Ovis aries: one gene and its partner. The protein of the gene in region 1 interacts with the protein of each later gene in a pairwise test. Links are inferred from orthologs where the notes say so. Each region holds a gene or a part of one and is shown on either strand. Other genes may lie near its edges.

What was found.
Region 2: the proteins of RTN1 (region 1) and UGCG interact in a two-hybrid assay, tested with the Homo sapiens proteins (2 studies listed by BioGRID and IntAct). The link is inferred for Ovis aries from reciprocal best matches to the Homo sapiens genes RTN1 and UGCG.

Annotation. Positions count from the first base shown.
Region 1 is NC_056060.1:70,159,208-70,163,193, forward strand, and holds the start of RTN1 (reticulon-1), read right to left. Parts: upstream 2,805-3,986; 5' UTR 2,603-2,804; coding exon 2,362-2,602; intron 1-2,361. UniProt on the Homo sapiens protein: Inhibits amyloid precursor protein processing, probably by blocking BACE1 activity.
Region 2 is NC_056055.1:11,620,675-11,624,191, forward strand, and holds part of UGCG (ceramide glucosyltransferase), read right to left. Parts: intron 2,773-3,517; coding exon 2,594-2,772; intron 209-2,593; coding exon 122-208; intron 1-121. UniProt on the Homo sapiens protein: Participates in the initial step of the glucosylceramide-based glycosphingolipid/GSL synthetic pathway at the cytosolic surface of the Golgi.

The sequences.
Region 1 (3,986 bases):
AAATGAATCACAGAATTTCTGTCCAGATGGCATGATTAGTGGTGTTTTTCAGGGGAAAAAAAAGTTTTAAAACATCAATATCTGCCTTACATTTTAGAATTCCATTTGAAAAAGAAACATAATTTGTTTACAGTGTATCACACTCAACCTCTAAGTTACTTCTTAGTTTGAGTCCCAAAGAGCATCATTCTTTTAAAAAAGCAAAATTATGAGCTTAATAGGCTTCCTCTGGATTTTGTCCCTGATTAAGTTGAGGATACACCTGCTAACTTTACTTAATTGCAATAGAACTGTTAAAATAACAGATAAGGAAGCTGGCCCAGATTTTATTTAATTTTTTTTCAAGATCTAGTAATTTATTTAGATATCATTTCTGGCATCTAGGCCTCTTATAACAGCCCATACTGAATACTGAATGCAAACTGAAAACACTAAATAATCAATAAATATATGACAAATTCCTTCAAGCAGCAATAAATAAACTTTAAATTTTCTGTATAAATTGCAAACTTATGCTTTGTCCCCCTTCCTTCATTCTTTTCCCATCCAAACTCAGCATTATGTTTAATTTTACTAATATATTTGTTGCCTAGGATAGGAAATCCCTAATATATTTAACAAACTATTTCTATAATAATAGTAATAATGTTAAATATTGCAAATGCCTACTTTGTCACAATTGTTAAAAGCATTTTATATAGATCAACTATTTTAGTGGATAGTATGTTATTGAGAGGAAGCTAAGCTTCCCCTCCTTAGTTCACCTGACCCTGATCACACCAATGAGAGGTGGGCAATGTTTATAAATGATTTATTTTGATGATGGTGGATAAAGGTTCTGTACTAGGAGCTACTCTCAACGAAGAATGCTGATGGTAAATCAACCAAAAAAGTACCTTCCTTTTTCTATTAGGTTTGCCATCTTCTTTTTCATTTAGATTAAGTTGAGATCTTAGTCGGAAATCCTCCCTTCCCCCATATAATAACTAATACTGGACAAACGGGGTTTTCTGCTTTTGAGTCTGTCTTTTTTCTTTTTTGTTTGTATATGGTCTTTTTCTTTTCCCTTCAGAATGTTTTATTCAAAACATTCCCTCAATCTCCTTTCCTCAGCTCAAATCTTTTATACTAGGGCATAATCAAGACTACCTAAAGCACTCCATGTGACCCTTAAGAGAGGCAGTGGCTTAAGAAAAGGGTTCCCCTAAATCAGCTGCCAAGAACAAGAATGCCAGTCCCGCCCCCATTCCGTTCCCCCAGGATCACCTAGCACCCGGCCTTCAAAAGCTACATCTCCAAATCTACACAACTCTCATTCCACCCGGCAAAGCTTTCTCGGAGAACTACACAACACAGCACCCTCCCCTCCCCGCTCCTTGGAAACACGGAGTTCCCTGAGTCGGCAGTCCCACCCCAAAGCTCGTTTCAGGCATCCTTTGGGCAGGATGCTTCAAGATCTCAGGTCTCCGCTGGGATCCAGTTCAGAAGGTGAAGGTGGAGGGAGGACAAACCCAGGGCAATTTCGTAACGCCCTCGCTGGTTCAGACTGCTGGCAAACTGTGCCTCCTAGCTACACCCACCGCGACTCAACAATCTCTAGCACCGCAGCCAGCGGCCGCTCTAAATTAGGGTTCCAAGTTCCAAAGCTCCCTTCGAGGTGGGAGCATTGGGGAGCTGAAAATGAAGGATTCTGGGCGGGGGACCGGCACAGCTCCCAACCTTCTGGCTTCGCAGTCCCTCCGGAATTAAACACACCTCGGCGTTTCAGTTTAGTGTGCGGTGAGCTAGAGGAGGGAAAGGGAAATGGGAGGAAGTAGGGTGTGGCGACTCTCGGAGGTTAAGGAAAGGGAGAGTTAAAGTCACATCTCTGCCCTAGATCAAGCCGGGTCTAGGGGCAGCGGGCCTGCCGGTCGCTTTGTCGTCAGCTTCCCCTGTCGCGGGAGCGAGCCCTGCAAGCAAACACGCCCCCCGACCAAATCGTCCCAACTGGCCAAGCGGGCCCTACAGCCCCCAGTCCCAAGGAAGAAACTTGTACACAGGCGCACCAGCAGCTAGGATGCTGCGGTTTGTCTCTGAGGACAACTTCGAAAGCCAGAAAAATAACCATAACGAAATAAAAGGATCAATAGTATTTTGTTTTCTTCTGAGCCTTTGGAAACTAAAATAAAATTTCTGTTCCTACCAGTCATTTAATATTTACAGGCGCCTGTGGCGAAGGGAGTGGGGGCGGGGACGGATTAAGGTTGGTCCTGAAGATAGAGAACGCAAAGTAGGTGCATAGGTGAGTTGAAGAGAAGGGGGCCGGCTAGGGGACCAGAGTCCCAGACGCCATTTGCGGGGCAGCGGCGCCGCCCGCCTTACCTGTGGATGCAGTTTCCATGGCAACGGGCGGCGGCCGGGCGGGGCCCGAGCCCAGTTCCCGCGGCGCAGCTTCGGCGACCCCGGCGCCCAGCCCGGGTCCCGGCTCCCCCGCCAGCGTCTCGGGCTTGGCTCCTTTCGGCGTCACCGCTTCGTCCTCCCCCTCCCCCCGGTCCCCGAACCACTGGGACCCGGGGCCGGCCAGCGGCAGCAGCTCGTCTCGGGGATCCGGCGGCGCGGCCATGGCTGGCAGTTCCCCGGGCGCGGCGACAGCGGCTTGGCGGGGCCGAGGTGCAGAGACTGGGTGGGCGGGCGGGCGCTCGCTGCTGCTGCCCCCGCCGGGACTCGGGGCTTGGGGAGGCTGCGGTGTGAGCGCCGCCGCCGCCGCTGCAACTCCGGCCGAGCTGCTGCCTATCGCTCTCGGCGCTTCAGCTCCTCCTTCTCCTCCCCCTCTTCCTCCCGGCCCCGCGGCGGCCTCTGCCCGCGCTCCTCCTCCTCCTCCTGGCGCCGCCGCCGCGGCCGCCTCGCTACTCCCAAGCCTGTTATTACGCAGGTGAAAAAGGCCTGCTCGGTCCGAGTCTTCCTTTGCACACGTCAGCCCCCGGCCTGCTAATGGCAGGCCTCGATTTAGGAGCTGTGCCAAATCCACTTGAATCTTCCTCTCAGGTGGGGAGGAACCAGAGGATGAGCAGGTAGAAGCAGCCCCTAGCTGAAACGTGACTGATTAGGCAAGCTGGCCACCCAACTCATAAAGTTAAACCTGGACTGGTGTCCTGGGACCCGAGTCAAAGAACGGAAACTGGAGCCATCAAGGCCACAGTTCTGAGGGTGACCAGTATCATCTGTGGATGGGGACTGGTCTTGGCGGGGAGGGGTGGAAGTGGGGGTTGACAGATGGGAGACGAGAGAATCTGCAACCCTGGGGTTAAATGTTGCATCCTTAAACTATTTCCAAAACAACCAAAAATAGTGGAGTACAGGAAAGAGCTATCAGGATAGCCTCCGAAAAAAAGCTTACCAGACTTCAGTACTACCAGCACTGAGGGCGAATAAGACAGCAATGGGCAGGATAAAAACAACTTATGTTTCCTTGCAGAAACCTTGAGCCAAAGCCATACAGATTATAAGCTGTCTGTGCAGCCTGCTTTCTTTGAGAAGTTGGACATTCCGGGAAGCTTGCTGCTTCCCTCGCCCCCATTTTCCTTTACAGCTCTCTGATAAGATGGAAGATACCTGACAGATAAACAGAAACTCAGAGAAAGGAAGTGACTTGGCTTATAATCTATTATTCCTATGTTTAGATATATCTTTTCAAACAAGACTTGTGCTTTATTGGTTCCTAAACTGTCTATGAAATGATGTGGTTGGAAAAAATAATAACACACAGGGTGGAGGACTAAGCCCATGCACTGCTCCTTCTCTAGAAAAGGTGGGGCCCGGGGCAAGCTTCCTTGAGGCTTGTGGAACTGCTAAGCCACTATAGACATGCTGAGGATTTCGTATATGTCAATTTTCATGTATTCCAAGGCCAACTTCAGCACCATGCAGATACTCCTCAAAAAGGCTGAAAGTTAAAAGCCTGAATTCTGCCCAACCCTTTGTTCTATTCAGTGACTAATTAAGAGAAA
Region 2 (3,517 bases), on another chromosome or scaffold:
CAAAACAAAATCTGACTTTTCTTTTTTTTTTTTTTTAAACCAAGTTAAGACCATGTAAAAATACTCCTCATTCCCTTTTTCTTTTAATAAAGTATAAAAAGAAGAAAGCCAGCTGACTTACCTGATCATTCTGGACTGAAATTGAGAAATTGAATATGAGCCAGAGTTTTGCATTGCAACTTGAGTGGACATGGCAAACCTCCAACCTCTGAAAATTAAGACAGTTATAAAATGAGCTATGATCAGGAACACATACATGCAAGGATGACAGGTTATGTACTTATTCACTACTATAAAGGGTAAGCAGCGTTATTTACAGTAGCCAAGATATGGAAGCAACCTGTCAATCAACAGATGAATGGATAAAGAAGATGTTGTCCATACATACAATGGAATATTGCTTAGCCACGAAAAAGAATGAAATCCTGTCATTTACAACAGTGTGGATGGACACAGAGGGTATTATGTTCAGTGAAATAAGTGAGACATAGAAAGATAAATATTCTGTTATCACTTAGATGTGGAATTTAAAAAATAAATGAATGACTAAACAAAAAAGAGACTCACAGAGTTAGAGAACTACTGGTTACCAGTGGGGAGAGGGAAGGAGGGAGGGACAAGATAGTGGAAAAGGATGAAGATATACAGACTACTATGTATAAAATAAATAGGCAACAAGGGTATATTGAATAGAACAGGGAAATACAGTCATAATTTTGCTATAACTTTAAATGGAGTATAATGTATAAAAATACCGAATCACTATGTTGTACACCTAAAACTTTATAATACTGTAAATCAGCTATTCTTTTTTTTTTTCTTTTAAAGTGAGCAACTGCCAGTGTTTAGGGTGAGCCTCGTCCCAGGATAGCACCCTACATAGGGTGTATCATACTTAAACACATTTCAGTCATTACAGAAGCCCATGACAGTACCACTTAAAAACCGGAAGGAACTACAACCCCTCAGTTCACAGCTCAATAAACTTAAAATACAGACATTCTGAAAGTACTAAATGGAGTGGGGCCTGTATTTAACAGTCTCTGAACACTATTAACCAAAAAAAGGAGTAGTGGGGGATATGTATGTGAATATTCAAGAAGAAATATAAACCAAAAGTGGCATTCCATATCTCACGAGAAACAATATGAAACCACGGACCACTAACACCACCAGAAGATAAGTCTGAAAACATACTTCAACTTTTAAGATCACACCTTCAGTAAATTATCACACAAGGAAACAACCCCCTTTAAAAAAGCAAATGAGTGTCATTTTGTGATAGAAAAGTGTGATTAAGGCAATCATGAATCATTAGGTAGCTTCTTAGCAAAGTATCAAATAATCTACTGAAAAATTTCAAAATTTGAAATCTCATTCTTTAAATTTTCACCTACTGGCTTTATGACTGCACTGATACTTTTAATTCTTGTAAAACACATAAACATTTACATTCATAATAATGAAAATTTACAGTCACAGAGAAGCTTCAATTTAACTACTTCAAATCACATACATTTTTTAAGAGTTTAAATGTATTTATTTTATTTTTTAAATTGAAGTACAGTTAATTTACAATTATAGTTTTCAAGTGCACAGCAAAGTGATTCAGTATTTACTGGGTTGGCCAAAAAGTTCATTTGGGGTTTTCCCATAATATCTTACTATATATGTGTGTGCTAAACAGTAGGCCCTTGTCTACTTGTTTTATAAATGATGGTGGTGGTTTAGGTTGAACCAGGTCTTGTTCGATTCTTGTGGTTCCATGGACTGTAGTCCACCAGCTTTCTCTGTCCATGGGATTTCCCAGGCAAGAATATTGGAAGGGGTTGCCATTTCCTTCTCTAGTGGATCTTTCCTACCAGGGATCATACCTGCATTGCAGGCAGATTCTTTACCACTGAGCCACCAGGGAAGTCCCCTATTTTACATACAGTAGTGTATATATGTTAACCCCAAACTCCTAATTTATCTCCTTCTCCTGACCTCCACTATCCCCTTTGGTAAACATTAAGTTTGTTTTCTACATCTGTGAGTTTGATATTTGTCTTTCTCTGTCTGACTTACTTCACTCAATATGATAACCTTTAGGTCCGTCCATGTTGCTGCAAAAGACAGTATTTCATTTTTTTTTATGACTGAGTAACATTCCATTATACATTCAGATCACATCTTCATCCATTCATCTGTCGATAGGCATGTGAGTTGCTTCCATGTCTTGACTATTGCAAATAGTGCTGCTATGAACACTGGGATAAATGTATCTTCAGATTAAGACTTTTCTTCAGAAATATGCCCAGGAGTGAGACTGCAGGATCATATAATAACTCTACTTTTAGTTTTTTAAGTAAATTCCATATTGTTTTTGAAACCAAATTAATTTGAAGAATGTAGAGAAATTAGAACATTTATTTGCTTCATTAGTGTGTACCTGAATAATTAGTAGGAATTACATTCTAAAAGTATTAAACTATTCTGTACTTACTAGCAAAAAATAAAATAGCGCTTAATCCACAGGTTTAACAAACAGAAAAAGCCAACATAAGTTCGGAAATAAAAAATACAACAACCTAATTTAATTTAGTTTTCTTACCGGTCAGCTATTGCTTTGGCCATAAAGTAATCTTCAGCAATATACTGAGCAAAAGCTATAAGCCCTCCTGCTTGATCTAACACATCCTTTCTCATTAAACAAGACATTCCTGTCACACATTTGAAACCAGTGACATTGGCAGAGATATAGGACCTTGGATGAGAGGTTCCAAAATACACCTGCCAAGACAAAACCGGAAACATACGTGTACAATTAGAAGTTTACGTTAGAAGTATGATGTTTATAAATTCCTTTTCCTAATGAACTTAAGAATGATAGGGTGAACAGTCTATTATTCTTACATACACTACCTGAATAAACAGTGGTACAGAATAATGTTTACATATAGCAAGCAGTCAGTAATTTCTAATTTGATTGACTACTCTTGTTATTATCACTTTTACAAAGAAGTAGTATGTACTTCGTGGAGGGAAAAGTATACTTTATTCTCAAATAAATACTGTCTTTCCTAAAACTCCAAGATTTAAAGATTTATTGAAGTAAAACAATTTGGATTTAAATAACAGAGGTGAAAATATCACTTACTGATATACGATATTCATGTTTAATGTATCCTCTTTTCATACTCTTCACATAAATATACACACATCTACACACACAGGTATATGTACATATGTGTATGTGTACATGTATGCACGTGGCTATACACACACAACACTCACAGGTACATCAACCAAAAGAACAATCCTATTTCTTAATTTCTTTTCCTGTATATTTTTGCAGTTAGCTGTTTCCTGCCCAAGTCACAAAGCTCAAATTCCCCATTTTTCAGTGTGTTTTTCATAAACAGGGTGAACACTAATAGTCTCCCATTTTACTGCCCCTTTCATAACGTGCTTTGGAGTCATCAAAAGTGCAAACTGCTAAACTAATGGGAGAATAAAATGGTCATCCAAACTTACC